Tamandua tetradactyla: one gene and its partners. The protein of the gene in region 1 interacts with the protein of each later gene in a pairwise test. Links are inferred from orthologs where the notes say so. Each region holds a gene or a part of one and is shown in the gene's direction. Other genes may lie near its edges. The genes, in order: CEP76, CABP5, cilium assembly protein DZIP1L-like and CRYBA4.

The links.
Region 2: the proteins of CEP76 (region 1) and CABP5 interact in binary tests that used the Homo sapiens proteins (3 or more experiments, as listed by UniProt). The link is inferred for Tamandua tetradactyla from reciprocal best matches to the Homo sapiens genes CEP76 and CABP5.
Region 3: the proteins of CEP76 (region 1) and cilium assembly protein DZIP1L-like interact in binary tests that used the Homo sapiens proteins (3 or more experiments, as listed by UniProt). The link is inferred for Tamandua tetradactyla from reciprocal best matches to the Homo sapiens genes CEP76 and DZIP1L.
Region 4: the proteins of CEP76 (region 1) and CRYBA4 interact in binary tests that used the Homo sapiens proteins (3 or more experiments, as listed by UniProt). The two-hybrid records come from large-scale screens. The link is inferred for Tamandua tetradactyla from reciprocal best matches to the Homo sapiens genes CEP76 and CRYBA4.

The regions. Positions count from the first base shown.
Region 1 is NC_135344.1:76,585,706-76,593,508, reverse strand, and holds the start of CEP76 (centrosomal protein of 76 kDa), read left to right. Parts: upstream 1-4,671; 5' UTR 4,672-4,735; coding exon 4,736-4,798; intron 4,799-5,036; exon of another isoform or gene 5,037-5,163; intron 5,164-5,485; exon of another isoform or gene 5,486-5,717; intron 5,718-6,030; coding exon 6,031-6,186; intron 6,187-7,803. Other genes in the region: PSMG2 (proteasome assembly chaperone 2), read right to left, coding at 1,797-1,968, 4,371-4,427. UniProt on the Homo sapiens protein: Centrosomal protein involved in regulation of centriole duplication. Required to limit centriole duplication to once per cell cycle by preventing centriole reduplication.
Region 2 is NC_135342.1:13,060,513-13,068,650, forward strand, and holds the start of CABP5 (calcium-binding protein 5), read left to right. Parts: upstream 1-4,940; 5' UTR 4,941-6,655; coding exon 6,656-6,865; intron 6,866-8,138. Other genes in the region: LIG1 (DNA ligase 1), read left to right, coding at 699-752, 1,397-1,540, 2,683-2,775, 2,915-2,992. UniProt on the Homo sapiens protein: Inhibits calcium-dependent inactivation of L-type calcium channel and shifts voltage dependence of activation to more depolarized membrane potentials. Involved in the transmission of light signals.
Region 3 is NC_135341.1:82,033,178-82,040,772, reverse strand, and holds the start of cilium assembly protein DZIP1L-like, read left to right. Parts: upstream 1-4,464; 5' UTR 4,465-4,472; coding exon 4,473-4,973; intron 4,974-6,309; coding exon 6,310-6,394; intron 6,395-7,595. UniProt on the Homo sapiens protein: Involved in primary cilium formation. Probably acts as a transition zone protein required for localization of PKD1/PC1 and PKD2/PC2 to the ciliary membrane.
Region 4 is NC_135331.1:36,171,750-36,179,736, forward strand, and holds the start of CRYBA4 (beta-crystallin A4), read left to right. Parts: upstream 1-4,860; 5' UTR 4,861-5,215; intron 5,216-5,732; 5' UTR 5,733-5,744; coding exon 5,745-5,783; intron 5,784-6,434; coding exon 6,435-6,553; intron 6,554-7,987. Other genes in the region: CRYBB1 (beta-crystallin B1), read right to left, coding at 108-275. UniProt on the Homo sapiens protein: Crystallins are the dominant structural components of the vertebrate eye lens.

The DNA.
Region 1 (7,803 bases):
GTTTTAAAATGCAGATATACCATTTTTTATAAGAGCAATACCCATACCCTTCAATTCTATATCATGCAACTATTTTTGTTGCTAAGACCTTGATACTTTCTTCTGATGTGATACAGTATGAAAGCAACATTACTTTTATGTGTTCTAATAAAAAATATTTAACTTAAACCTAATCAATCCTCAAGATCAAACTTTCAGTTTTAGAAAATACAGGGGCTAGACCCACAAGCCAAATGACACCAGAAGGAAGTAATCAGGTAAATGCAGAAGGTGGGAGAGCCTGTAAGACAATGGGCCAGTCTGTGTCAGAGGAGAGTAAGTGGACCTTTAAGTAGAGCAAAGGTGCGCTAGCAGAATGATGTGGTGCTTAAGAGGCAGGTCTCTGGAGCCAGACTGCCTTGATTAAAATCCCAGCTCCACCAATTATTAATTATGTGACTGAACAAATTACTCAACTTCTCTGAACCATGGTTTCCTCATCTATAAGACTATCTTTTGGAGTTGGCATGAGGATTAAGGGAATTAACACATGTAAAGTGAAGTTGTGTCCAGCTCATAGTAAATGCTCAATAAATGATTGTTGTCATTAGTGCAAAGTATAGGACTTCTAGTACCACCAGTTTACCCAGATAAGCATTCATCTGGAAAATACTGGTATTAAGACCAATAAAATCATCTTTAAGAATGCTAAACTTTTTGGGTTTTGAGAACAGCTAAGTCTTTACTGATATTCCCCCGTCTTCTCTTTGGAGGACAGTCACACTCACTGGGATTAACAGAAGAATGAAATGTAGTAGAGTGTTAGCCATATACCTTCTAAGGCAATAACTAAAATTCAGCCTTTCATGTTAACAAAATCATCAATCTTATGTCAACAAAACCATGGGTTTTATGTTAACAAAACCATCTCTCCTGCAGGAATTTCAATTAAGATTATTTCTCAAAAGTTCATTTCATCATTGTAAGCTAAGAATAAATGACAGGGTTAATAAAACTGACAAAAAAATAAAAATATTTCTTCATTTGTACTTCAATCCACCAGGCATCTCTCATGGGCCCCATCACCTTTGGCTTTGACCTTAAAATGTTAAACAGAAGATAGAGAGGCTAACAGAGCCATCAACAAAGTGGATATTCCTGTCTTCAAGAACAACAGGTGTCTTTCCTCTGTTCTCTTGGTTCTCTCCCACATTATAACCAAACAGCAGTCAGTGCAATGTAAATTATGTTCCCTAATTAAAAAAGTCTGATTTGTCCAATGAAGAATTACGGAAATTTATGCTAAGTCAAAAGTCTACACCAGGCATTAGAGAACTCAGACTCTCAGGGTCTTATCATCTATATCATAGTATTATGGATTCTATAGTTAAGCAGCAAGAAGACTGAGGCTTAGAAGAGGGAGCACATGCTAAGCATGGAGGACTGCACCCTTTTCTTTTCTCCTTTTCCCAGGTATCAGTGGTGATAATTATACATGCCAGTAAAAACAAAAAATAAAACTGAGGATAAAAGGGAAAAAAAAAATCCACGTTGGGATGGAAGGGTAATAAAAAGAGGAAATCTTAAAATTCTAAACAAAGATACAAAGAACAATTACATCTCTTGTAGGAGTTGCCATTTAGAAAAGAACAAGAAATAAAACCAGGATGTAAGAGAATAGGACAGTGCAACTAGGTTGTACAATCTGCACAAAGCTGGCACTAAGTAAATGTTTGCTTTGAAACAGTATTCACAGAATCTATCCTAATTTAAAACAACTCTACCAGGTAGTACAACAAACCATTCTGAGGCCTTACCTTCAGTATTTGTACTGAGTTCTGTTGAATTTTCTTCCTCAGTTGCATATGGGTTGTTCCCAACCATCGGCACAAGACAATCAGTATAGAAGTAACCAATCTTAGACATATTCAGTGTGGAAATAATCAGGTCTATTGCAAGCTGACCAACATTTCCAACAGATACTGCTGGCTGAAACCATAAACGATGATTAATAAGTCGTAGGAATTAGTTACATTTAAAAAAAATTAGAAGGCAATCACAGCACTAGTTAGTACTGAATAGTTATGCTCAGGTGCCTCGCTTGATACACTTTCTTTAAGGGTAACAGAAATGTCATCTGGGCCATCTCCACGTTTGAGGCCACTCATTTAACAAATACTTGTTGATGACCTACTATGTGTCAATTATTGCTCTAAGCACTGGGGAAGCAGTAAAACAAATCAGACAAAAATCCCTGCTCTTGTGGTGGAGTTTTCATTCTAGTGAAAGTGGTTTACTTATAATAAACAATAAACTGGTAAAATATATAATAAAATATACAGTGGTTAAAGCCAAGAAAAAGGATATCATATATGAGTGTGTGTGTGTGTGTGTGTGTGTGTATGGCTGCAATTTTAAAAACAGTGACAGAGGAAAGACTCACTTCAGGTGACAAGTACCTAAGACCTAAAGAAGGAAAAGGAGAGTCATGTAATAACCTGGGAAAAGAATGATGCAGGCAATGGAAAAGAAAGTGTAAAAGCTGTAAGGTATGAACAAAAGCGTGTGTGAGTCTTCTTTCAGTTTGCTTTGTTAGTGCCTTTTTCTGCACACTCCTATAGCTGGAGTGAATTTCACATTAAACATATATGCATACGTGTGCATGTTTCGTGTGTATATTCACACATACACAGACTTACCCCAATTGACTTCAAACAACCCAAATGCCAAATTCCAACCTCCCATCAGGACACCTGCCTGAAACCCAGAGCCTAATGGATAGCTCTATGTGTTTATGTCACAAGCAGCTCACAGTCAACAAGTAAAAAACTAACTTTTGCCAAAACTTGTCCCCCATTTTAAAGTTCACAAAATAGCAACATTATTTACTCAATTACCTAAACCAGGAAACTTCCTCCCTTTCCATTACCAACTACATCTAATATCTGACTAATTTTTATTGATTTAACTTTTTATTACAGCTTCTCCTTTGCATTCATCCAGTTATTGCTTTTCTCTGGACTTCATATATTTTGCTGGTTCCCTCAAAGTGGTCTCCCACATCTTATGCCATCATGTACTAATTTCTTGTTTACCCTTTTCCCTTCTCAATTAGCTACTCTGCTTGTAGTCTCTTTGTATTTCTCTGTATCATCTCTCTTTTCCCCACTATCAGATCCTTCCCATCGGCATATAAGCATGCTCTAATACTGTTTATTCTAAAAAACCCTCCCTTGACCCCACCTCTCTAACTACCACCTCAATTCTCAGACTCCCTAGATTGCCAAAATTCCCTGATACTGGCCACTAAAATCTAAGCAGAACTTTATCTCAGAATCAATGAAATACATATATACACAAGTATCCATGTCCTCTTCTTTCATATATTCAACCCAACCTGATACAGCTTCCCTCTCTACCACTCCACTAACTGTCTGCCAGGGTTACCATGAGTAATCTCGCTGCTAAACCCAAAAGGACACTTGTTTCAACTTACACAATGTCTGGACTATTTTTGACAGATGTCCCTCCCTCTCTCCTGAAACACTCTTCTCTTTGGATTTCTGTGCTTGATAATTAATATATAAAAGAATGACTGTTGTGTCTCTCTCCAGCTTTGCACCACTCCAAACTGCATTCTCCAAAGGTGCCTCCTGGGTTTACAGGCCTGCAGCCTACTCTGTCTCAAAGTGCCATTCCTCACTCTGGGCCGTGCCCCAGAACCCCATGCTTTTGTGCCTCTGGTTTAAAAAGTCCATCCTTCTGGAATGCTCTACTTTCTACCCCACCCCCCAAAAAAGCCCCACTTTCCTCGCCTTTTAGACATTACTTTTCTATGAAGTTCTTCGTAACAGGCCTCCACTGGACTGTAAACTCCTCGAGGCCGGGGACCGAGTCCTATTCTAACGTTCACACCTGGCAGAATGTTGACTGAAAGGACGAATGAATGTAGCCAATTGCAAAAGCAATAAAACCGTGTCAACTACGAGCAAAAACGTCACTTTCATTACTATTACCACTTCCATTATTCTTTTTTCACTCTCATTGTTTGTAAACCTACCGCCATTCACTAAACTGTAGGCTAGTACAAACATGGCCCAAGCGTGCATTTATGGCGTTTCCCGACAGAGGACTACTCCTCTCTTTCGTTCTCTGGTGAATGGCTCAAGGCGGACCCTAGAAGCAGCTGGAAGATTTCCTAGGATAAAATTTAAGGAAAATGCGCCGCACGAACCAAGTGCAGGGTCTGCGTGATCTCCGAACATAGCACGTTTTACCACCAAGACTCCCTCGGAAGCAGGAGTCGGCACTGCAACGGGCCCGCCGCCTCCGCCGCGGCTGAGGCCGAAACCCGCACCGCCCGTGCCGGCGAGGCGGGGCCGCGCACTCACCATCAGCAGAGTGAAGCCCGCCAGGTCGGGGGCCGGCTCCCCGCAGGGGACGAACATGGCCGCGGCGAGAGGAAGCGCGAGCGAGCAGAGAAGGACCCACGCGCGCGCCGTCTCCACGCGACGCGCCCCAGGGGCCCGGCCGGCAGGCGGGTGGAAGCGAGGCGGGGTCCTTCGTCTCCCCCGGCGCCGGGCTCGGGGCCTTCCGGGGCGGCGCCTGCGCGCTGGGCGGCGCGGGTCCCGTCAGGCGCGGCGCGGGCAGCTCTGCCGGCGCTGCCCGGGTCTGAAGGCGGTTGGGCGCAGCGCGGTGCTGCTCGGCGCGTCCTGCCGCTGGCGGCCGCGGGGTGGGCGGCCCGGGCTCCGTCAGCATGTCGCTGCCCCCGGAGAAGGCCACCGAGCTGAAGCAGCTCATCCACCAGCAGCTGAGCAAGGTGAGGACGCCGCGGGCGAGGGCAGGCCGGGTCGGGGCTCGGAGGGGACGGGAGCAAGGGTTGGGGCCCGGGCGTGAGCGGGGGTCGGGGCGGGTCGGGGCGAGGCAGGGTCGGCCGGGGTGGGAGCTGCGGCCCGGTAGGGCCGAGCGAGGGTTCGGGCAGGGTTAGCGTTGGCCGGCCTTCGGGGCCGGCGTGGGGACAAGCCGGAGCGGGGCTGGGGCTCCCAGGTGGGCAGGGGATGGACCCCTCCGACGAGAGCCTACAGAGGGTTTGAGGCGATTTTGGTATTGCAGGACGGCTGTGAAAATGAAGCTCTTATCGAGTGATTTCCGATAGCCAGATAGTTGAGGATGTGTTTGGAGCAGGTGTTTTTAAATTCACGGATCAGACGTTGGGATTACTCTCAGGGTGGTAGTGGGGATGCCGTTGAAGTTGAGTCAGTAGCTTAAAGCGCCACTTCGCGGAGAAATCGTGGAAGAGAAGTGACTAAAATGTTTGTAAGGAGAGTATTCGGGATACTGCGAGCTCAAGAATGACACTGAGTCTTTGAGTGCCCAACTGAATGCATTATAAGTTGAAGGAAGAAAAATTGGACATGGAGATAATTTTAATATAAGCTACCATTTGTTTTGCACTAATTTGTGTACCAGATTTTACACTCAGTGTTTAGCACCTTTTATTTAAACTTCATAACCATCTTATAAGAGGGTAGCATTTTTTCCCATTTTGTATATGAGGAAACAGATTCAGAAAGGGAAAATAAATCGACTCAGGGTTACACGTCTAATAAACTGAAAGCTATAATTTTGACTTTGATTTGCCCTGTCCAGGCTTCTGTTCTTTGATTATTCTCTACTCTTTCTCAAAATATACGTCGTGTTGAGCATTGTTTGTGGAGAAGTGGTAACAAAGACAACAGGTAGTCAATAGACTCTTTTTCTAGAATTTATACTGGAAGTTTCATCTTTTAAAAAATTACTTTGTTTCTTCCTTTTAAAATTTTTACTTTTATTGTCATTGAATTGTAGTTACAATTTTACATTTATCCTTAGCTTGAAACACCTAAAGCTCAGGCTCCCCAGATGTGGCCTTTTGATCTCCTCCTCCCTTTTTTTTTCTTTATTACTGTAAGTTAGCATTTTAGAAAGAAATCAACATTAGCAACATTTGGTTGCTTTGATAATCTGTGCTCATTAGGAGTAAAAGAAATGTAATGCAAGTTTTCTACATAGATGGATGTCCATGGCAGAATAAGAGAAATCCTTGCTGAGACTATACGTGAAGAATTAGCACCTGATCAACAGCAGTTATCAACAGAGGATTTAATCAAAGCCCTTAGACGTCGAGGAATCATTGATGATGTGATGAAAGAACTTACTTTTGTTACTGTGAGTAATCTTTTGGGGTAAATAATTGAGAGTGTAAGTGTATTCTCATGCTTACCACTGTTTATAGGGTCCATATTTGGGACCTCTGCTGTTAGTAAGACCACTTTAAAATAAAGCTGTTTTGCAAATAACATCCTTGTTTTAAGTATAAATTGACACTATCCTTGAGCAAAGCATATATTATTAAACATTAGTGAAATTGGAGTTATATGTCATATTCCTTTTTCCATGGTGTCAGAATTTCCTCATTATTCACTAGGGTCAGTAACTTTAAATATGCATGTTTCAGTCAAATTAGTTCACCATCGAAGTCCTTTTTCACTAAACTTGTTCTGTAATTTTTTTGATTGACACTTATTTTTTTAAAAAGCTTTGGGGGGAAACTATGTTTTCTATGATTAACAAATTATCAATCTCTGTAAGTAAATAACTGATTAAGGTCTTTCAAATCTTTTCATACAAATAGGTCAGTAGTGGCATGTTAGCCTCTCAGTGCACGATTAGTAAGTAGGCCTTCTTTTGAAAATGAGGCAATAATGAGAAACTGTGACCTCAATACCTGGGTAATATAACAAAAAATTAAAATGGGCTTGGTAATACACTAGGGAATAAGTATTTTAATGCAGTGCCCTTTTTTGGTTTTTGAGGTTTATAAACCTGTTTGTTATAAAAATTGACCTAATAACAACTTTTGCTGTGTGACTGCCACTTCCTTATTAAAATCAGTTCAGGATGGAACATAAGCCAGATGTTATATGTGGTTTAGAGAAAGTTTAACTTTTTAGCACTTCTGTGGATAGCATTTTTAAAAAACATTTTTTATTGTGGAATAATAAAAAATCACTTTATACAGGAAAGTGATAAATTTCAAAGAACAGTTTAACAAGTAGTTATAGAGCAAATTTCAAAGTAGTGTGGGTTACAGTTTTACAGTTTTAGGTATTTTCTTCTGGCTGTATTAATGCACTAGAAACTAAACAGAAATATCTGTATAATGATTCAGTGCTCATAATCATTTGTTAAGTTCTAACTTTTCTGTTACAACTCCTCTCCCTCTCATTTGATCATTCTCTCTGTTTTCAGGGATATTTGGTCAGTGACCATTCTAACTTCATGTTTAAAGGGGGTGTTGACATTATGGGGTATAGGGTTGCAACTGGTTGATGTTCTGGGAGAAATAGGTACCTCTGAGTTTCAGGGCTTATCTGGCATAGGAACAATCTGGAGGCTTTAAGTTTCTGAAAAATAAACTTATAGGTAAAACTTTTATAGAGTCTTATATAGAGCCCTGGGTTTTCTTTAGGGTTTTTCAGGAATGCTGTTGGTTGGGGCTTAGCATACCATGACACTGTAATATCTGGGATGGCATTGTTTGAAGACAGTTTAATTACTTAGTGTTAGGAGTGATCAGTTGCATCATCTTTTATGGAGGCTTTTAAGATTTTATTATTTTCATTTTCTAGGAAAACAAGGGAGTTTTTGGTGGGTACCTTATCTTACCTACTCTTGATTCAGTGCTTTGTCCTATCATTGGCATTTTCTTCCTTAACCATAATTTTTTTTTTATTAATTAAAAAAAGAATTAACAAAACAATTAGAAATCATTCCATTCTACAT
Region 2 (8,138 bases), on another chromosome or scaffold:
GGAAGTCTGAAGTTGCTGTTTGGGCAGGGCTGTCTTCCCCCGCGGCCCGTGGGGCTGTCGTGGTGGCCGGCAGTCCCCGACTTAGTCTGCGCTCTGCTTCGTGGCTGTCTCCCTGGCTCGGGAACATTCACATTTGTCTCTGCCCAAATTTCTTCTCCATTTGAGGACTCCAGTCACATTGGATTAGGGCCCACCTTGATGCAGTTTGGCCTGATCTTAACTAATCATATCTTCAAAGACCCTGTGTATGAATGGTTTACCTCCAAGGACCAGGCTCAGGGCTCAAACGTGTCTTGGTGGGTGACCCACTTCAACCCTTTACAGGAAAACGCTTGGCAGGATTAAGATTGAAGATGACGGCAGTCAGTTATTGGGCAGGGGGAAGAGGGGAGACCAAGGGAGTATCTTCCTGAGCTAGGGAGGTGGGGTAGAAGGAGCCTATCCCTGCTGGTAGGATTCGGGTGGCCAGGAGGGTTGTTTCAGTGTCCTGCGAGGGACTGGCCTGGATGCTCAGCCCTTTCCTCTCTGTTCTGTGGCTACTGTTGGTCTAGTAGTAGGACTTGGCTAATCTGGAAAACTGAGTGGGGTGAGGGTGGGGGGAACTGCCACTATAAGTGGAAGCTTAGGTGGCAGGAGCGTGGCGGGAGCGGGGTGGAAGTCCTAGGGTGCACCTCTGACCTTCTGTACCCTCCCCACAGCTTGGAACTGGCTTCAGTGACGAGGAGCTGGAGGAGTATTACCAGAGCCTCCAGGTGAGCAGGGGTGGCTGCCAGGAGCCACAGAACTCTCTTCATCTCCTCTGTGGGCAGGGTTCATGGTCTCCATCTGTCCTGGAGCTTAGTGGGGTGGGGGTATGAACAGGTGGGCGGTGGGCAGCAGAATTGGCTTTGGAGTGCAACCAGTTGGGTCAGGACTCAGCTCCACCGGCTTGTAGCCAGCGACACTGGACAAGGAGCCCAATCTCCCCGAGCTCAGGGGGCAATCACAGAGCTACCCTGAGTGCTGCTGGGGGGGGGGGGGGGGGGGGGGGCGTGTCCCTGAGTCTTCCTGAGAAGGTGTTGTCAAGAAAGTCCTGAGTAAGCAGAAGTACTTGTTGTCAGGTGTGGGGCAGCTTGGGAGTCTCTCTGTCCTGTGCACTGGTGTTTCTTGGTACCCACTGGAGCCCTACCCCATTCTTTGGGGTACTCCTCTCTTTGGGTCTCTGTCCCCCTCTCTGTGGGTCTTTTTGACAACCTTTTATTTCTTCCTTTTTTCCATTCTTCCTCACTTCCCTCCAGCTTTTTACTGTAAGGGATGCCTGTGTCTTTGTCCCTCTGTCCACTCCCTGACCCCAGCCTTGGCCTCAGCTTTGAGATGCAGCACCCTCTCTTCTCCCCCTCTCCACTGCTTCCTGCAGGCCCTGGTGCTGCCGAACCCACGCTCCTACGTCCGGGCAGATGGTGCCGTGGCACCTGACTACTGGCTGGAGCCTAGCACCGTGTGGGAGGTGAAGTGTGCTGATCTCTCCCTCTCCCCCATCTACCCTGCGGCCCGGGGCCTGGTGAGTAACAGGGGGCAGCAGGAGGGTCTAGGGTAGACCCTAAAGGAATCCCAGATGGGCAGTCAGGACACAGGAGGAGGCCTCAGCACAAGCCTGCTCTGCAGGGGGGTGATGAAGGGAACGAAATTGCTTTGCATTTTATTTGGGTATCAGGTAATGGAGTCCACAGCCTCTTTCTTTTAAGAAAAATTTTCCAGTAGCAAAAAGTAAACAGTGGAATTCTCCCTTAACCGTCATAATCTCACATTCAGCTCTTTAATCATTTTTTAAAACACTGTTCTTTTAAGAGTTTCGTGTTCTTCCTGCTGAGCCATTTCCATTGACTGCTGCAGTTTCCTTTTCAGTCGCTTCATTTCCTCACCTCCCGTTGTTGTTAGTGCCTTGATGTTTTGGTGCCTTGACTAATATCTCTCACCAAAGCATTTACTGTCCACCAGGGAAAGACACTAACCCTTTTCACAGCACTAGGAAAGCTCTTGTCTTTCTCCGTCAGAAGAGCAGTAAATCTCAGATAAAAATACACTCTGTCTGAGGTTTCTTCTGGCTTTTCAAAATCTAGCTGCATGAGCATTTCTAATTAGAAACAGGCTTCTATTTTTGAAAAGGAGACTCATGTTTTTTATCTAATTGTCTTAAGAGGAGATTATGTGCTTTTCTTGCTCATGCCCTGTGTCAGAGAGTCGCTGTAGAGCGCTGGCATTGAACACTTTCCTTGAGTGTGGTGGCACAAGCGTCCCCTTCCGCAGTGGAGGAAACAAGCCCAGGAGAGCTGAGGTGACTGCCCGGGGTCACCTGGCTCCCTAGAGTGGAGAGCTGGGCTTTGCAGCTGCCCATTCTGCCTCCAGGGTCCACACCCTTGACCCTGTGCTGTTCTGCCTCTCAGACCTCATGATGATGCATTAGTGGCTTAAATAACAGCTAGAGCAGCGGGCCTTTATTAAGTGCTTACTGTGTGCAGTCCTGGTCTAAGTCCTTTATGTTTATTCACTTCTTTAATCCTGAAACAGCCCATTACTTATCCCTGCTGAATGGATGAGGAAATTGAGGCCAGGGGTGAAGGAGGGAGGAGGAGACTTTGCATAGGGTGTTGCTGCAGCGAGGGGATGCAGGCTAGACCCCAGGTGTGTCACCCCAACCCCCAGGTGGAAAGCGAGAAGGGGATCTCCCTACGCTTCCCTCGGTTTATTCGTGTCCGTGAAGACAAAACACCAGAGGAGGCCACCACCAGTGCCCAGGTGAGGCCCTCGGAGGAGGGCAGGTCACCCCAGGGGAGCCTTCTGACCTGTCAGTTTCTCGGAGAAGTGAACTCTGGTCTGCAGTGGCATGCAGGTGGGCGGAGAGCTTCTGACTCGACCCCCTACCCTCCCCCCTCAGGTGGCTCAGCTGTATAAGAGGCAAAGTCAGATTCAGAACCAGCAAAGCACAGACTCCGACCTGGAAGATTTCTACTAAGTCCCCGTTCTTCTGGGGCCTGGGGTCGGGGTGGAGGGAGCCCAGGGGTGCCTCCTCTATTTTTGAACATACCATCTGTGGAAGTCTGTGGTGTCTGTGATTCAGGTGTGTATGGGGGTGGGGGGGGCGGTAAGTTTAAACTGAGGTTGGGGATTCATTTGAAAATTTTTTCAATAAATAATTATTCAACATCTACTGTGTCAAAGTTTGTGCTGGGCCCTGGGGGGCAGCTGTAAGAGCTCACACTTTTGTGGTGTGTAGCATGGATTCCATAGAACCTTCTGCAGTGATGGAATGTTCTCTCTCTGCTCTGCAATACGAGAGCCACTGGCTCAGTGACTCCTGAGCCCCTGAAATGAGACCAGTGCAATGAAGACCTGAATATTTCACTTTTAACTTAAACAGATACATGTGACTAGCGGCCATTGTATCGGATGGCAGCGGTCCCAACTCTATACACCTCCCAGCAACTCTTCCTGGTGACACTGTTTCCCAGGTGAAGACAGGGACGCACAGAGAAGGTAAATACTACCTCAGGTTACATAGCTGGGAGTGCCAGCACCGGGCTCTGACTTAGCGCTCATGCTCCAGACACCCCACTTTTTGGGTACAGTCACCATCCTCCTGAGAGAAAGTATGTTCAGTGACTCTTGTGAGACTCCGGAGTCTGCCACCCCGAGGCCTTGCAGCCTGTCTTATTTCCTGCCAAGCTCAAACATGGCCTCAGAACCTCAGCAGTTTTCCAGACATAATGCCATGAGAGCAGGCAGTGGCCATACCTGTTTTCCTCATTGCTGCCTCTTAATCCCATCCCAGAACAATGCCTGGCCCATAGCAGGTGCTCATTGGATCATGGCTCACCATCGGTCTCCAGTGGCATATGAGGTGAAACCTAAGATGCCACTGATGGTTGACCCCTGTTTGGGTTGCTAAAGCTTCTGGGATGCAATATACAGAAATGGATTGACTTTTACAAAGGGGATTTATTATGTTACAAGGTTACAGTTCTAAGGCCATAAAAATGTCCAAATTAAGGCATCAGCAAGAGGATTCCTTCACTCAAGAAAAGTTGATCACATCCAGGGTTTCTCTGTCAGCTGGGAAAGCACGTGGCTGGCATCTTCTGGTCCTTTGCTCCCAAGTTGTATTGCTTTCAGCTTCTGATTCCAGTGGTTTTCTATGTTAGCTCGCTGTTCAGCTGTGAGCTCTTTTAAGTAAACTAAGACCCACCTTGAATGGGTGGGGTCACATTTCCATGAAAATAGTCAAAATGTCTCACCCACAATTGAGTGGGCTGCGTCTCCATGGAGACAATCTAATCAAGAGGTCCCACCCTACAATAGGTCTGTCCCTAACAAATTGGATTAGGATTAAAAGAGCATAGCCTTTCTGGGGTTCATAAAAGTTTCAAAACAGCACAACCCTAACATCCCTTCACTCCTCTTCTTCCTAAGTCGTCCCTGAGTGTTGATTTCCCCTCCTTCGTGTGCTTCAGGGAAGTGGAGCCCTGCCCATAGGGTGGTATGGAGAGTCCAAAGTAATCCATCTGGATGGCTTGGGTAGGGGAATGAGATGGAACTTCGGCTAGTGGAATGCAGAGGGAAGTCTGTAGGGCTTAGGGGCAGGGGGCCTTCTGGAAAAGCTTTCCTTCTGAGTGTCACAGGGAGAACTGGGCCTGTGTGTCTTCCCCTGGATCTGCAGCAGCCCTCGGGCAACCAGCTAGAGGAGGGTCGATCCAGGACTGGGCAGACAAGCGGGAAGGACGTGGTCACACTCGCACTCTCCTTCCAGGCTTCTTGGTGTGTGAAAAAGGGAGCCCCTTTGTAGGTAAGGAGTTCATTTTGGGTCTTCTGTTACCTGTGTGGCAAGATGCCATCTCATCTGTCAGGAATTATGTTAGGGATATGTCCTTAATTTATATTTGGGAGCCTTTTGTCTCCTAGGATGCTGGATGTTAGGGAACAAAGATGTTAAAAACACACACACAGACAAAAAAAGAACCATGAGACAAAAACTGGACAGAAAGCAAAATGCAGCTTGAGTCATGGCTTTTGATCTTTGCTTCAGAGACCCAGCCACTGTTTCTGAGTTGCACGAAGTGCACTCATATGTCCTAAATCTAGATAGTTGCTGCCACTGCACTCGGATAAACCCAACGACTATGCATCAGCCTCACCCCGTTTCCATGTCACTGAAGCTGCTTTCTTCCTTGAAGGGAGACTTAACATTGCAGATTTCACGTTTTCCCTTTTCAAGGAGGGGCCTATGTGCTTTAGTTTCCAGCCTGATCACACTCAGTGTTGGTGACTATTGGCATCCCAAATCTTAAGGGAATTTTAAGGGAGTATGGTTAGTATGCTCTTGAGTTTGTGCAGCAGCCTTGTGTCTTCATTGCCCAGAGACTCCAGCTAGAGGAAGTCTCTGAGGAAGGATGTATTAGTTAGGGTTCTCAAGAGAAACAGAATCAATAGGGAACACTCGCAAGTATAAAATTTATAGAAGTCTCACGTGACCACAGGAACGCAGATTCCAAAATCCACAGGGCAGGCTGTGAAGCTGACGATTCCGATGGAAGGTCTGGACGAACTCCACAAGAGAGGCTCACCAGCTGAAGCAGGAGGAGAGACTGTCTCTTCTGAATCCTCCTTAAAAGGCTTCCGGTGATTAGATTAAGCATCACTCATTGCAGAAGGCACGCCCCTTGGCTGATTACAAATGGAATCAGCTGTGGATGTAGCCGACATGATCATGATTGAATTCTATGAAATGTCCTCATCGCAACAGGCCAGCACTTGCCCAACCAGACAAACAGGTACCACCACTTGGCCAAGTTGACACATGAACCTGACCATGACAGAGGAGGATACCTTCTCTGAGTGATTTGGGGAGAAGGAACTGAGCAGACTCGGCTCAATCCTTTCTCCTCTTGTTTTTGAAGGGAGCCAGCTCACCGACAAGGGGGTGTAACCTGCAGTGGCTGCTTCAGTTTCCAGGGACTACCCTGTAAAGGGTGAAATTTCAGCAAATCCTTTGGGTCCCTAATCCAAAAGACAGGTTTCTGGTGCAGCCACATTTGTAAGACAATTGGTCAATTTCTTACAAAGCTAAACAGTCTTACCATATGATCCAGAGGTCACGTTTCTATGTATTTATCCAAATGGGATAAAAATTTATAGACAAGCAAAAACGTGCACACAAGTGTTTATAACAGCTTTATTCATAATTGCTCCAAACGGGAAGCAACCAAGATGTCCTGCATGAGTGAATGGGGAAGCAAACTGTGGTACATCCATACAATGGAATATTATTCAATGATAAGAAGAAATGAGTCATCAAGCCATGAAAAGAACTGAAGGAACCTTAAATGCATATTGCTAAGTGGAAGAAGCCAATTCAAAAAGGCCACATACTATATCATCCTAACTGTGACATTCTGGAAAAAGCAAAACTATAGAGACAGTAAAAAGAAAGTCGAGCAAGATGATGCCTCCCCTCAAGTCCCAATTTTTAAAAATTTTTCCAATCCATCCTGGGAATACAAGGCCAGAGCCTGATGCTGTCTTTCCCCTCCCATCTCACTCAAGCCAGATGGGGAGACAGGAAGAGCTCTGATCCCTCCCTAACCTGGGTAGAGATTTCCAACCCAACTGTCACAGCTCTAAAATGCAGGGACTGCAGGAGAGTCCGTCAGAGGCAGAGGAAGGATTGGCAAAAGGAGTGATAGAGAAGATCAGGAGGCCGAGGTATCAACAGGAAAGAGAGGGAACCATCTTGAGACTGGTGCCTGGTGAGCCCTGCCCTGTCCCCTCCATGCAGTTTCCCATGGGCCCCGCCTGCATCTTCTTGAGAAAAGGCATCGCTGAAAAACAACGGGTGAGGTGGGGGACGGTGGGGAATGGTGGGCAAGGCAGAGGGGCAGGGCAAGGGGAGACAGAAAAGAATGTGATGGGTGCAACAGAATTAAGGAAACAGCTAGAGAGAGCATGAAAGGAGCTGGTAGAAAAATTCCAGGGGGTATAATGGGGACATGTCGACTAGGGTGAAGTCAGAAGACAGGGCAAAAAAGAAGAGAAAAAGGAGAATTAAAAAATAAAAGGGACTAAGGACGATGTCATTATCGATGATCATCATTCTTTTTTATGGACACACATTGTAATGATGACGCTGATACCAATAGCTGCCAATTATTAAGTCAGCGCGATGAGATCAACCTGTACAGAGGGCTTTGCATTCTGAGGTCATTTAATTCTCAGAACAACTTCCAAGGTCGTGATACTTTTGTTCCCATTTACAGGTGAGGGAACTGAGGCTGTGAGTCATGAAGTTCCTTGCTTTAAGGTTATACAATTAGTAAGTGTCAGGGTCAGAACTGTTTGATTCTAATGGGCATACTTTTAATTGTTTTATTTCAAGGTCCTGAAAAAAAGGGAGGGAGGGAGTTTGCAGTGAAAGAGATAATAAGAAAGAGGAGCTGGGGGAAAGGCTGAAGGGCTGAAAGATAAAGGGAGAAAAAGGGGTGAAACAGGCCAGAGGTTGGGGAAATTTCCCAGGTGGCATGCCATATATGGAGACCTCACCTTTCAGATATATCTAGGCGGGGTGGGAGCAGCAGCGATGGAAAATTCTCAGAAGTTGTAGAACTGATGGTGCCAGCACTGAGCATCTTGAATGCCATTGAACACTGGCTGCATGCAACAGGATTCTAACCCTTATAAAAAAAAAGGATAGAGGTTGGAGAAAAGAGTCAGTGGGGTGTACAGCAGAGAATTCTGACCTGGGAGTTAGGAGCCCTGATTTAAATTCCAGTGTTTGCCTGACTTGCTGTGTGACCTTGAGGGAGTAGTTAAATGTCTCTCTTCCTTAGGAGGGGATCTGCCACTTACGAAGCCTGTGACCTTTGGCAGGTTCATTAACCTCTGTCCCTTTGCTTCCTCATTGGTAAGATGGGAACCGTATTTGCTTCTACCACAAAGAGATGTCCTGAGCTTTAATAAAATAGTTGTGGAAACTACCTGGCACAAAATGAGTGGCCTGAACACATTAGCTGTAACTCTGTCTCCTTTTCATCTGGAAGATGAAGGGATTGGATTTGATGGCCTCTAAGGGTCCTTTCAGCACAACTTGATGGTTGTCTCCTTGAGAAAGG
Region 3 (7,595 bases), on another chromosome or scaffold:
ACCCTTCTGATCTGAATGTCTTTTATTTCATTTTCCTGCTTGATTGTTCTAGCTAGAGCCTCTAGCACAATGTTTTTTTCTTTTTTTTTGTTCTTCCTCATGCAAAAGCATTTTTTTAATTTGTACATTTAGTCGCTATCATTATACACTCTAGGCATTCCTAGATTATACCATCTCAGTCTTCATTGTCTATTTTTCTTTCTGATTTCATTTGTGGCCCCAGCCCTTCAGTTAAAACACTGAGCTTCATTCAGTGTTTTAACATAATTGTATTACAGTTAGGTAGTATTGTACTATCCATTTCTGAGTTTTTATAATTAGTCCTGTTGCACAATCTGTATCCTTTCAGCTCCAATTATCCAGTATCTTACCCTATTTCTATCTCCTAATGGTTTCTGTTACCAATGAAATTCTCCAGGTTTGTTCACTAATGTCAGTTCACATCAGTGAGACCATACAGTGTTTGTCCTTTTGTTTCTGGCTAATCTCACTCAGCATAATGTCCTTAAGGTCCATCCATGTTATTACATACTTCATAACTTTAGTTTGTCTTACAGCTGCATAATATTCCATCATATGCATATACCACAGTTTGTTTAGCCACTCTTTTGTTGATGGACATTTTGGCTGTTTCCATCTCTTCACAGTTGTAAATCATGCTGCTATAAACACTGGTGTGCAAATGTCCATTTGTGTCCTTGCCCTCATGTCTTCCTCCTGGTTCTGGTTCCCGGTTTCATTGCTTCCAGCTTCCGATGCCAGCAGTTTCTTCTGTAAGCATCAATGGGCATTCACTTAGCAAACCCAAGATGGAGGGAGGTGAGTGTGCATGTGGGCTTCAGCGCGGGCAGCTTTTAAGGATGGAGGTCTGGTGACATCTGGAAGGGGCAGTTCATTAGTTCCGGAAGTCAGGTTGGGAGGGGTGACACAGCCTCCGCAGCTCCAGCTGCAGTGCCCTTCCCCGTTCCCCCGACCTAACATTCCAGCCTTTTTGTGATAATAGGGCGCCGAGATCTTTCTGGCTACTTCCTGCTGTAATGGGGCGACGTGGGGTTATAGGCTGGAACCGTCATGGCCAGGGGAGTGGGGAGGCTGGCTGTAGGAATCTGGTGAGGAAGGCAGGTGATGATAATGATGCAGGAGGATTTGGTTGACTGCCACCCGGGATAGTTCCTTTATGTGTCCCTGAAGGAAGTTGAGGAGGCAGGGAGCCAATCTGTGGTGGATGCAGTGGTGAGCCGAAGGAACCCTTGTCGCTGGCCATGTGGAGGAAGGAGGAGAGAGAAAGCCCGGGCGCCTCTGGCCAGGCAGGCAGCACCCACGCTCCTCCCTCTAGCACAATGTTGAAGAATAGTGGTGACAGAGGGCATCCTTGTCTTGTTCCCAATCTTAGAGGGAAGGAAAGCTTTCAGTCTCTCACCACTGAGTACAATGCTAGCTTTGGGTTTTTTCATATATGCCCTTTGTCATATTGTGGCTGCCCCTTTTAAGGACATATGCCCTCCAGTTTGTCACAGTCCCCAACACTTCCTATGCCAACACTCCCTACTGCAGTGTTTCAGAATCAGTAAGTCTGAGGTGAGAACCTGCATTTCTAACAAGTTCCCAGGCGACACTGATGCTGCTGGTCTTGGGCCCACACTTTGAGAACCACGGCTTTACTTGACCTTGGACAGGAGCGGAGGAAGCAGTTGCTATTTCTCATCAAGCTCATTCTGTGACAAGCCTGTTTCACTCACTTAATGTTACTTTTCTGGCCCCTGTGGCATTTGGGTTTGCAGTTTCTGGTATAATTAGTATTGGATCCGTAGCCCTAAGAGAGAGATGGTCAGGACTGATGGGGCAGGGAGCGTGCGCTTGGGAGGCTGAGGCTCAGCCTTGGGCAGGCTGCGGTTAGCCGAGGCTGTGGGTATGTGTGGGCTCACCCCCAGGCAGAGGGCTTTAAGACCAGGCTAAGGGGTTTGGATTTGATACTGTGGCAACAAGCCATGCTGAGCTCTGGGGTGGGGGACATGGGTGAACAGCAGAATATTGGGGGACACTAGCCTATGCTGCCTTAAAGAATTGGGAAGGGATGGTAACCGAGGGAACTGGCTGGAAGGAGCAGTCAAAGGATGGGAGAGCTGAGAGAGAGTGGCTGGAGAGTGCTTTGCCTTATAACTGGGAGAGGGCTGTTGGCAAACATCTGAGGCCAGAGCTTAAAGAGTTAAGCAGTGGCGGTCCTCGGGCCAGCTCGGAGCCTGTGGGAGGACAGGAGGTGGGTGTCCTGTTACCCTTGTCCACCGCCTCCCTGATGACTCGCTGTTGCTCTGGGCACGGTGTGTTGTGAGCAATTGTCGCCGAGGCTTGGGTGACGCGGTTGCAGCTTGGAGCCGGGCATGGTGAGTATCCTGTCACCTGCCCCCTGTTTCCCTCCACCTGGCCCGTTACATTGGAGCGTGCCGGTCTTCCTTTTGTGGCCGTGGTGGGGTGCTTGTGGCTGCATATTTTTGTGGCTGCGTATTTGTGTTTTGGGGTACATGTTGGGGGCGAGTATCAGGGAGGGGAAGGATGGGAGCTGAAGCTGAAAAGCTGGGTGGGTGGGGTCCTATGGGTGGGCTTTAAGACCAGGCTAAGGGGTTTGGATTTGGTACTGTGCCAACCAAACACGCTGAGCTCTGCGGTGGGGGATGGGGTGTGCGTAATACACTTGGGGAGCCCCAGCACCCACCACTGGGCCCAGCACACATGGCCATGCAGCAAATGGGAGGGCAGTGAGTAAAAGGATGCATTGGAGATTTGAGGGATGAAATGTGATCATCTGACCAAAGCAAAAATTTAGGATAAATAGCCCTCAAAATTAATGTTGGGTGATTCAAATCCAGCTTTGGAGCCAGATGTACCTGCAATTGTACTTCAGTTGTGCCTTTCTTACCTGGGGCAAGCCACTTAAGTGCTCCGGACCTCAGTATCCTGGTTTGTAAACTGGCATGATAATACCTGCCTGTAGGTTTGTATTTGGCATTAGGGCCCAGCACAGAGGCTGGCACCCCTGCATATTGGCCGGTATTATTAGTGAGGGATTTCCCCCTCACTTCTGCCACCCTCCCAGGGGCCTGGGGGCGGGCAGGGCAGGCTGAACGCCACCTTTCACAGGTGTAGACAGCAAGACGGCTGGGGCCAGGCGTGCTGCTGAGGGCCTGCCTCTCTTTGCAAACCTGATGGTTCCCTGAGTCCTTTTTCTCTTTCATGAGGTCAATGATCTTTCTCTTCTCTAACTTTCCATTGTACAGAAAAGTCTGAATCACATAATCTAGAAAGAACTTGATTAGACAGGGTGTTGTGTACCTCTTGTTGCCCCAGTCAGATTCTAAGTTCTTCAGTGGCAGAAATTGTATATATTTTTTTCTTTTAAAAAAGATGAAAGTAACAGATGATGATGAGAAGTGACTTTAATAGTACTGAGAAGTGGAAAGTGCAAAGTAAAGGTCTTCTGACCTCTATTTCTATTTTCCAGCAGTAATTATAGTGAACAGCTTGTGGTCTCTTTCCAGAAATAGTCTGGAAATAAAATAAAATAAAAATAATATAATGAATAATAAATAAATATATTTTATACAAGTTTGATTACATATTATATATGAATGATAAATATAAATAACATATGCGTACATGTATTTCTTTTAGTTAAGGATTAGATATTGTTTTTATTTTAAAAACATTTTTCTTTTTGGAGTAGCTATACGTTTACCCCAGAAAAGTATGCAGAAAATACAGAGCACCTGTCATGTATTTCTTTTATGATGTGGAATACAGATGTGCTGTACAGAGGGCTGAGTTAGTCCTGTTCGTTATAGCATTGTGTCGTTGGCCTGTGAAAGGCCTATCATGTCCGTCTGTCTTTTTTGTCTGTGCATCTGTCTATCCATCCACCCATCTCCCACCCCCACATCATCCATCTGCTAATTTATTTATTCCCATTTCACACTCCCATTTCTCTTCTCCCTTGTATAAAACCATTCGAATGTGCATGTTTATATATGTATGCATTCTTTATTTTGTGAGTTATTGTTAAATGTGATCATATAAATAGATCATTAAAAATAGGAAAAAATATATATATACACATACACACACCTTGTTCTATATCTTCTCTTTTTCATGCAACGTATTTCAGAGATAATTCCATGTCACTGTGTGTAATGCTGCCTTATTCTTTTCCATAGTGGCACACAGTACTTCATACTTTATTCACGCAGTCCCGCCCCGTTCTTCTCCGCAGATTCGGCCACACTGGCACGTGCAGACACTCTACAGCTGCTTGCAGACACCTGGCTCGCCCCACCGGGGCGCTGGCTGGGCAGGAGTGCAGCGCCGGCAGCCCCTGCAGCCACCCGTCCTGGCCTCACTGGGACTCACTTCTCTTCCCCAGGCCTTGCCGCCGCTCGCGTTCCTGCTGCCGTGGCCTCGGGGACAGCCGTCTTACCCCGCCCATGCAGCCCGCCGCCGTCGCTGCCCAGGGCCTCGGCGGGCCCCCCTTCGGGGCCTACACCCCGCCCGCCTTCAAGTTCCAGCCGCGCCGCGAGAGTGTGGACTGGCGGCGCATTAGTGCCCTGGACGTGGAGCGCGTGGCGCGGGAGCTGGACGTGGCCACCCTGCAGGAGAACATCGCCGGCGTCACCTTCTGCAGCCTGGACCGGGAGGCATGCAGCCGCTGCGGGCAGCCCGTGGACCCCGCGCTGCTCAAGGTGCTGCGCCTGGCGCAGCTGACCATCGAGTACCTGCTGCACTGCCAGGACTGCCTGAGCGCCGGCGTGGCCCAGCTGGAGGCGCGGCTGCAGGCCAGTCTGGGCCAGCAGGAGCGTGGCCAGCAGGAGCTGGGCCGCCGGGCCGATGAGCTCAAGGGTGTGCGCGAGGAGAGCCGCCGGCGCCGCAAGATGATCAGCGCCCTGCAGCAGCTGCTCCTGCAGACCGGCGCCCACGGCTGCCACCCGGTGCGGAGCCTCCGCGGGACCCCGCAGGGGCGGGCGGCGTGTCCCAGCCAGGCGGTCACCCCCCACTTACGCTCCCCCCCACCTCCCCTGCCGCACCAGCCCCGAGGCCTCTGTGAGGCTTCTCCTTGTTCAGAGTGCAGCCCTCAGCTGGTTTGGGCCTTCAAGAAATGTATAGTTTGGGGGTAGGTGGGACAGAAGGAATCATTATGATAGAATGTTAATTGATAGAATGATAATTGATATAACTGCTGTAAGATAGAGTTAATTACCTTACAAAGGGTTAGAACCCTTTCAGCACTCTAACCTGGTTTAGGCCCATAGGAAATTTATTGGTTGATTTTAACTGAAAAGGTTTGGTGGGTGTCAGGTGTGGCTTGCCCCAGGAATCAGATATGGCTGCAGAATCGAGTTTCTTGCTCTGCAGCTCTTGGCTCTTCTTCCTCTGTGTAATTTAGTTACATGGCTTACATGGTTGCAAGAGAGACTGGGACGTAAAGTCTTTATTTTCAGTGACATCATGACTTGCTAAAAATCAAGGTTTCTGTTACAAAGGAAGGGGAAAATGCATTTGGGGACGCCAACTGGCAGAGTCTGTTCCATTGCCTTTGTGCAAAGATAGCAAATAGACTTCACTTTACTCTGCCCTCTTACTCTGATTGATTGGCTGTGGCAACCTGCAAAGTTTTCCTCTGAAGTTTTACAATGGAAAGATAATATGCAGTGACTGACATGCATTTAGGAAACGGAAGTGGAATTACAGATGTTATTTATTTGCTGTCTCTGCCTCTGGTGTTTTTTCACCCTGGGATGGGGCTTGGGCATATTTTAAAACTTTCTACTATGGAAAATTTTAAACACAGTGATAGAGAGAAAGTCACAATGAACCTTTATCTGCACACCACCCAGCCACTCACCAACTCTTGGCTGATATTTTGTTTGTTCCTCTATCCACTCTCTCCCACCCCTGGATTATTTTGAGGCATATTTGTCATATGATTTCATCTATAGATATTTCAGTATGTATCTCTGAAAAAGCAAGAACTTCCACTTTTAAGCATAATACCATCAACCGCACCAAAAGCCAACAAAACTCTAACCTCATCCACAAAACTTTGTCACCATCATCAAATATCCAGCCGGTGGTCTTGGTTCCCCAGGGCATGGGTAGTTTTAAAGCTCCAGGTGAGTCTGGTGTGCAGCTCGGATGGGGGACTCGCTGGGCTCAGTCGGTCAGCTCCATTTCCCAAGTGGCTCAGGGGGCCTGAGGGGTGGGGAGGACTCCGGGCCGACTGGGCCAGGCTAATCCTGTGGCCCCCCCTGTTTCCTCTCTGTGCAGTGCCACCTGTGTGACAAGACGTTCATGAACGCCACCTTCCTGCGGGGCCACATCCAGCGTAGGCACGCGGGCTCGGCCGACGGCGGTGAGCGCTGGTGGCACCCTGGGGCGGGGGCGGGCCCGGAGCTGGTCTCCCGTGGGTGGAGGCACCTGCAGCCCGGGGTCTGAGCCTCCTCGGCCTGTTGAGGACGTGATGTGCGCGTGTGGGGCTGGGGAGCGTGTCTGGCCGCGGGCAGGGAAGGTGGATGGCGAGGTGGTGTCGTCTCGGTTTTGTCCCTGTCTATTGTGGGACCTTGGCCGTGGCTTCCCCCTTGGGGTCTCAGGGGCCTCTGCTGAGAATAGGGGCAGCCGGACCCCTGCTCAGAGGTCCCTTTCCTCCCAGCCCCCTGCGCACCTGGCGTTGTCTGAGACTACTGGCAAGGAGCGTAAATGAGCCACTGACCAGCTTTTTGATTTTTCTATTTACTCGAGTATATTATCATGACTTCATCATTTTAATATTACCATTTCAAGTTTTGGCATGCTTTTTGCCAAAAGAGGTATGCGAAAAAGATCTGTGGACCTTTTTTTTGAGGTTCAACAAGAAATATCTGTTAAAATAGCTAAATATAAAAATCCCCATTTTTCTTATTCCCCATCTTTTAACTCCCCTTTCAAAGAACAGGTTTAATATTTTCAAATAGTAGCATTTATTTAATTATGATGCATTTATTATGTATCTAATACTTTTTGGAGCTTCATTCGAGGCTGCTAAGGAAAAACATTTCCCATTTGTTAAATAATTTTTTTCTGATAAACATATGTCTTTGATATAGGAAATTTAAATACAGAAGTATAGAAAAGAGAAAATAAAAAATCATGCATGATATTACCAGTGGTTAATATTTTGGTGTATTCTCTGTCAGTTTTTTCTTTATATCTGTATAAACATTTAGTATGCAATTTTGACTATTGCTTATTTTCATTTAAGGATGTATCACATTTTCCATCGTCACTGAATCATTTTTGCAAATAGGATTTTTAATGGCTGTATGGTGTTCCCTCATGTGGCTATCATAATTTATTTCATAGTTTCCTCCTGTTAAATATATGTCTACTTTATTTGTCTACTTTAAATCACATGATGTTGAGCATTCTTGTGTGTAAATCTGTGTGTATACCCCTGATTATTTCTTAATGTAAAGTCCTCCTGCAAAGTGAGGGAAATGTGTTCTCAAGACAACTTTTATTTATTGTATATGTCCTTTTGTTCTCAGACAGCCAGCTATTTAGGTGCCCCAGCAAGC
Region 4 (7,987 bases), on another chromosome or scaffold:
AAAAGAGAGAAACTAGACAAAGGAGGAGAAAAGGAAGAAGGGAGAAAGAAGAGACAAGGGTAGAGGAGCCAGGGGTGAGCTCAGCTACCCTGGCCCCAGGTCCTTACCCTGTAGCTTCCAGGAGGAAATCCCCCCACTTTGGCACTGGGCGTGGATGCTGAGGCCAGGGCAGGGCTGGGGGCCGGGGCTGGTCCTGCGGGCAGGGCCCCTTTCCCTTTGGCATCAGGCCCTGGGTCCATCACAGCTGTTGCCAAGGCCTTCGTAGCTTGAGACATGGTTCCTCCTTGCAAGAGACTGCAAAGAAATCCTTGGCCTGGGTTAATTTAGGGATAGCATCCTCGCGCTGCCTCCCCACTCTACACTCCCTCACCCTGTGTTACCAGGCTCCTTCTAAAATAGAAGGCTCGAATTTTATCGTCCCTCACCACCCCAGCTGACCACCTTTCCTCTGGGCCTCTGGTTATGTTGTTCCCTCCACCAACCTTGCCCTTCCTTCTACTCTGCTCGGTACTTCCTTAGCCTGCTGAAGGTTTTCACACCAAAAATCGTACTTATCATTTTCTCTCGCAGGGCTTCTTTTTGCCTCACCAGATTGTTATGTTTATTACTAGCAACAAGGCACATTTGGGGCTATTTACCATATGCCAGGTAATTAATTCATCTGCCCCATAACTCTACCGGCTAGGTGTAGACATTCTCCCCAGGGAGCAAACTGAAGCTTAGGAGCCCACACAGCTCGTAAGTGGTAGGCCTCTGATTTCAATTCCAGCAACTGGGTGCTAAAATGCTCTGCCACTTCCTTATTCTTTTTATTCATCCCTCCATTACCAGTACTTGGATTTGTGCCTGGCGCATCAGGGATTCTCAGTGAACATTTGTTCAAAGAACGAATGAATGCACGTTCCCGTCTCCTTTTCCAACTGCTACCTCTGGAATTCTCTGGGCATGGGTGTGTGGGTGCAGCCAAAGGCCTGAGAGCAGGGCATAAAGGAGGGCCCAAGGGAATGTATTTAGTGCCCAGCGGGATTCTAAAAATGAAAACTGTGTGGGCTTTTGGGTGGAGAGGATTTTGGTCAATTCCAGTGGTTCTTCATTGCTGGGGTCGTGAATGTCATTGAGTATTTGAGGAAAGCTTAGACCTTGTGCCCGGACTTTAAAAAAAATATGCTCCCTTCAATTTTGGAGACTATGTCAAGTCTCCATATACCCCCCCACCCCCAGACAGTTTAGAAGAAGACTCTCTGGTCCTGGTGGCCCCAGAACACTCTCTATAAGAAGGAGCTAGTTGGGGCAAGCAGATTTCTCCCCCAGCCTCTGGGGTGCAGGCCAGACATCTGGGCCACATCTGTGGTTTCTAGGCCCTTGCTCCCCCCACCTCAGTATATGAATCAACACTTCTTTGGGTTGCTAGTTTGACTCATTTCTTCCAGGAGATGTTCTCATTCCTTCTCTCCCTTTCTCTGCTTGTCTTTCTCTAGCTGTTCTTTATTTCTATTTTGACTTCTCCCTACCTCTCTGTCTTTATCTCCGTTGTCCATATCTCAGGTTCTTTTGTTTTGGCCATCTGTCCCCCTCCCTCTCTAACGGCCTTCTCCCCTTTCCCTCCCCTTCAGCTGTCAGTGGCAGAGTGGGGTCCCCCCTACCTGGGGACCTGCTCCTACTTCCTGCTCCAGGACAGACGACCGGGCGGGTGGGTCCTGTGGGTGACTAGGGGCCGACCCCCCATTTTATAGTCTGGCAGACACTAAGCCCTGTGGTCTGTGTGGCACAAAGGGGGAGCTGGCTCAGCAGACCCGGGGCGGTGAGTGGGGTCCTGGCCCGGCCCCACCGGCATTCCTGCCGAGAGCAGCACTTTCCATTGTGAGCCCCGCAGGCACAGCCAACGCCCTGATGGCAGGGTTCACCTTCCAGCCCAGCCCTGCTCTCTGCCACCATTCCTGGGTCCGCGGGGATCCTGCTGGCCGCCAGACATTGGGGCAGGGCAAAGGGGGAGCCCCTGGGATGGCAGGAGACCTGGGACTGAAGCCTGGCTCTGGCACTAGGCGCTGTGCGGCTCAGGGCAGGTCTCTAGCCCAGCCTGGCTCTGTGTCTGCAGCTGCGAAGTGGGTGCAATTGTCCCTACAGGAACGCGGTGCAGGAAAGAAGGCGAGGAGGAGCCAGGCCAAGGCTTTGCAGAGGCAGACGTGGGTATGGCGGTGACAGCCCAGTTTCCTGAGCACTGTGAGCTGAGCATGGTGCTAAAAGCTCCACCACTCCACCTCCCTCCAGCCCAGGACGTCCCGACATCTCTGGCGTTTTGATGAGACCTATGTCACAGACAGGAGAGCTAGGGCAGGGAGGCCAGGCTGGCTCCAGAGGCTGTGTGTTTAACTCTCTGCAGTCTGACCTTGGCCCCAGCCTGTTTCTGGGTAGGGGTGGGGGTAGGGTGGGGTGGGTGCAGCCTTCAAGGCCCGGGTCCAGCTCCAACAGCTGCCACTGAGCCTGGATTCCTCTCTGGCCCTTTTCTCAGCTGCATGTAGACTCCTCATTACCTGACCCCAGGGACACAGCTGGGACACAGCTGGTGGCCGGCTTGATGCCTCCGCTGGGAAATCCCAAACTCTGCCACATCTTGCTCACCATACCTGGACACAGCAGACCCTTGCTCAGTATTTGGTGATTAAATGCTCTATGGATGCCAAGGGGCCATAGCAGATGGTGGGCTCCAGGGGGAGACAGGGAGAGGTGGAGAGGGACAGAGACACAGGGGCAGAGGGGGTGATGGGTGGCAGAGACACACGGAGAGAGAAAGAGAGAGACACACACAGGTGGAGGTAGAGCAAGAACGACTCAGGACACACATGCAAAATCTCCATCGTCCCACTCCCTGATCTCACAAATGGAGAAACTGAGGCCCAGGTGGGATAAGCAACTTTGAACAAGGTCACACAGTGACCTCACAGCAGAGTCAGGGCCAGAGGGGCCCGGGGGTTGCCCCCTTCCAGCCCCACTTGGGGGACTGCTCAGGTTCCCCTGAAGCCTGGCTCTGCTGGACATCTCCTTGACCCGGGGCGGGGGGGGCCGGCTCTGCCCTCTTCCCACCCAGCCTGCCGCCCCCTCACTTCCCTCCCTCCCCCTCAGCCTTTCATCCCGGGCCAAGACCTGGGGTGGGGAGTGGGGGGCAGGATGCAGCAGCTACTGGAGCTGGTGCCAAGGTCCTTGCGGTGGGGACCACCCACTGGTCCTGGGCTGAGAGGCCAGGCCACCTCCGGGTGGTTCGTCTCTCCCCCTTGGCAAGGGGCTGCCTGCCAAAGAGCAGGGCTGGGGCAGGCTGGGGGGCCCCCACATCTAGCTCCCCTCTGAGTTCTTTACTGACTTGGCCCCATTAACCCTCACTATGTCCTCGTGGAGAGTAGGGGGTGGTCTCTGTGGTTAGCCTCATTTAGGTTTTAAAAGCATTTAAAAAAATTATTATTTAATAGGCATCATTGTTATTATCCACAACCACCTTAGTTTGCCGTAACAAGATACCAGCGTCGTTGGCTTCCACCATAGGGATTGGCTGTATTGGTTTTGGGGGACAGAAGTCCAAAATCAAGGCGTCAGAAGGGTGACGCTTTCCCCGAAGCCTGTAGCATTGTGGTGGCGGCTCAGGCTCTGCCTCCGTGCCCGGGCCATCTGCCTCCTTTTTCTCCTTTTCTGGTTTCTCCTTCCATTTCCACATTTCCTTTGCTTGTAAGGTTCTAGTCATACCGGATTAAGGCTCTCCCTGATTCAATCTGGGCTCATCTTAATAGGATCTTCAAAAATCCTATTTACAAACGAGTTCACACTGCCAGGACCCAGGGTTAGGACTTGAACCTGTCTTTGTGGGGGGCACGAGTCAGTCCCCGACAGCAATGATGATGCTGGTGGTGGTGATGATATGTAATGTTTTTTAAGTTCCAGGAGCAGCTCTAAGTGCTAATCTTTTGTCACTCACATTAATCCTCAATACCCCTCTCCCTTGGGTTAAACCCCGTTTATCTTGACACCCATTTTACGCACAAGGAGAGTGAGGCTCAGAGAGGTTAAGTAACAAGCTCAAGGTTACCCAGCCAGCAAGAATGGGCTTCGAAGCCTGGCTGTCTGGTTGCAGAGGCTGGGTTTCATTTTTGTGGCAACCTGCTCGGAAGGCTTGCATTTGATAGAACCTTATTTAACCCTCCCAGGAGGGAACTGATGTAGCCATTTTATAGCCATGAGCTAGGACTCAGCCAGCCTCCAGCTCAGCCAGGTAGTAAAAGTCAGGTCCGGGTTCACTCCAAGCCACCTGGCCCCTTTTACACTGTGAGAGGCCGCTTGTCAGCCAGCCCAGGGGGCAAGCTGAGGGGAGAGGATGCACAAAGCAAATTCTAAGACCAAGGATGTTTGGCAGGTGTTCACAGTTTGCAAAACCTTTTCCCACCCAGCAGCAACTTTGCTCTCCCACAAAGCCAGAGGGACTCAGCACGGCTTTGTGAAGCCTGCAGGCATTGGTCCAGCCTACCTCTCCTGCCTCTTCTCTCTCTGCCCCTTCACGACCCCTGAGCTCCAGACACACTGGGCTACCAGCTCTTTCCTGTACAGGTGCCACGAGTCCTACCCCTGCACTTTTGCTCCCACTGTTTCCCCTGCTCAGAATGCCCCTCTTTCCATCTCACTCTGTACCAATCGTCCCAACCCAGTTTACATGCCACCTCCACTATGAAGCCTACCCTGATTGCCCCAGCTGGAAGAGGAAAGGGGCCAGAGGAGGGAAGGAATGGGCATTTGTTGTATCTTTACTCTGTGCCAGGCATGTTACATGACTTCACAAAGGAGTTTAGTCTTGTTCTATTTTATAGGCAGAAACTGAGGGGCATGACTTGTCCAGGGTCACACAGCTGGAAAGGACAAGAATGAGGTTCGGACTCCCCATTTAGTGCTCATTCTACCGCTCCAGACAGAAGTTCTGTGGGTCCGATTATGGCAGCCCTACCTCCCTCACCTTCTTTGCAGCTGATCCCTGGGGGAGGCGAGCTGGACCGTTCCCTCCCAGCCGATGCCAGAGCTGCTGACACCTCTCCGTGGGGGCTTCGGCCAGGGTTTGCTTTTGTCTCTGCTGTTTGCTTGCTGAGTCAGGGCTCTGCTCTCTGGGGCCCCTTGTCCCGGCGCAGTCTATAAGAGACTGGCCTTGGCCAGCCCCGACTCTGGAGTGTTCTCTGGGCCCATCTCGGTAAGTCCTAGGCTTGGGGAAGAGGCAGGATCAGTTAGCATCCCGGGAGGCGGGGAGCCAACATCCCATGACTGCATCACCCAGGACGCCATCCTCATCCTAGCCAAGGCGTCAAGAACAGTACCTGCCTACCTTCATTTAGTGTCCTATTGCCTGAATTTCCACCATCAGAGTTCCCCTTTAGCATTAGGTGCTGTCGTGGGAAGGCACTCTTAGCTGAGCACTATGACACGTGCAGGCATGAAGCATCCACCCTCTGGCAGCCACAGAAACATTCTCCTGGAGCATGGATAAAGCAGTTTGGTGGGGCCCAAGGGATGGACACAGAATGGGTACGTTTTGAGATGGTGCTAGGAAGGAGATAAAGGACACACGGCACTGCTCACAGACAGAAAAGGAGAGGGACACAAAGCCACACACTTTGCCCCAGGCGGATCCTGACTCGGCCCAAAGCAGCCGTCAATGTCAAGGAGAAACAGAGCCAGGGTGGAAGACTGGGATGCTTTCTCCTTCGTAGGAAGGAGCCAACATGACCCTGCAGTGCACCACGTCAGCGGGACACTGGAAGGTAGGAAGAGATACCAGCTGGGGGCGGTGGGGGAGCGGGCAGGGACAGGGTTCAAACCCAGTGCAGAGACCCCCTCGCCCCCCCCTTTCCCATCCCCCAACTTCACTGAGTTCTCATGTCACCCTTAGAAGGAGAGGGCCGATTGCTCTAATTCAACCGAAAGGGACAGGGACTTGCCCAAGTCACACCCAATATGAACCTGGGACTTCAAATTCCAAAACATTAACCAACACACTCGGGCAGAGAGCTCACACTGGTAGCCAAGATTGCATGCGGTCTTCAGGCATGATTTGTTAGACCTGCTCTGTGCTTTTTAAATAACATGAATTTATCACCAGCCTTACAAAAACTTGGAGGTTCCGCCTAATTCGGATGTTAGTGATCGTCGTGAGAAACCAGAGGGTCGGCCGAGCAGACCTTCCCCCACGCACACCCCCATACCCCCGTTTACGTGGGGCCCCTGCTCCCCAGGTCCCCACAGTTCCTCACCTACCTTCCTGGCCCTGCCCCTGGACGCATCTGAGTTTGCAATCCCGGCTATGCTGCCTCCTCTTGCTGCCCTGCCCCACTCTGAGTCTCGGGGTGCCCCCAGCCCCTCGGCCGACCCCACCGAGCTCTGAGGCTGGTTTCCACCCTTTCTCTCTGGCCTAGGTCGTGGTGTGGGATGAGGAGAGCTTCCAGGGCTGGCGGCACGAGTTCACGTCCGAGTGTCCCAGCGTGCTGGAGCTTGGCTTCGAGACCGTGAGATCCTTGAAAGTGCTGAGTGGCGCGTGAGTCCGGCGGGCGGGTGGAGCGCCCAGTCTGGGTCCCGGTGAGGGAGGGGAGGGGAGGCAGGAAGGGACCCAGAGATGAGGGCTGGGATTTGTAGATGTTCTCCCCAGACTCTAATTGCATACCTTTGTGTCTTCCTTGGGTCTGAGATGCTGGAGGGCGTGCAGGACTGCCGTGTCAGGTTGCGCAGGCTGTGCACTGGCCAAGTGTAGGGGGATTGATGCACACGGATCTTGCCCGCTGGATGCAGATCTTCAGAACAGAGTGTCAGGGCAGAAATGTTCCATTAGCATAAATCAAAAGCCAACATCAGCTTCCCAGCGCCTGCCCATGCAAAGAAAAAAAAAAGCCAACATCAATTGCCAAAAGAAGAATAAATACAGTAAAAAAATGATGCTTTTAAATTTTAGCTAAATATTGGTGCCTGATTGAGGCTCTGAGAGTGAGGCTGAGCTCTTTTTGTTAGACAAATAAATAAAAAGAGAGAGCAGTGGATGTAGGGAGGTGTTAAGGGCACACTCACAGTACACTAAGATTCTTTTTATTAATTTTTAAATTAAAAAAATGACAAGAAAGAAACATAAACATTCTTAACATATGATCATTCCGTTCCACATATATACCAGTAATTCACAATATCATCACATAGTTGCATATTCATCATGATCCTTTCTTAGAACATTTGCATTAATTCAGAAAAAGAAGTAAAAAGACAACAGAAAAAGAAATAAAATGAAAACAGAAGAAAAAAATTATACATACCATACCCCTTACCCCTCCCTTTCATTGATCACTAGCATTTCAAACTGAACTTATTTTAGCATTTGTTTCCCCTATTATTTATCTTTATTCCATATGTTCTACTCGTCTGTTGACAAGGTAGATAAAAGGAGCATCAGACATAAGGTTTTCACATTCACAGAGTCTCATTGTGAAAGCTATATCATTGTTCAATCATCATCAAGAAACATGGCTACTGGAACACAGCACTACATTTTCAGGCGGTTCCCTCCAGCCTCTCCACTACATCTTGAATAACAAGGTGATATCTGCTTAATGCGTAAGAATAACCTCCAGGATAATCTCTTGACTCTGTTTGGAATCTCTCAGCCATTGAACTAAGAGTCTTTAGATGAACACTGTTCAACAGAACTTTCTGCGATGTTGGAAAAGTCCTATATCTGCACTGCCTAATTTAGAGTCACTGAACCCAATCTGAAATTTCAATCCATTTTAACTTATTTGTTTAAAGTTAATTAGCTACATGTGACCAGTGGTTACTATATTAGCCAACATAATTCCAGAAGGATTGGAAGGAGATTGCTAGGAGAACAGGGTGATTCGACATCATTCGCCTGGCCATCCGGACTGATTTTTCTGCATCTCGCATCGGGGGCATTGCTCTGGAAGCTTCCTCTTTGTACAGGTGGGGA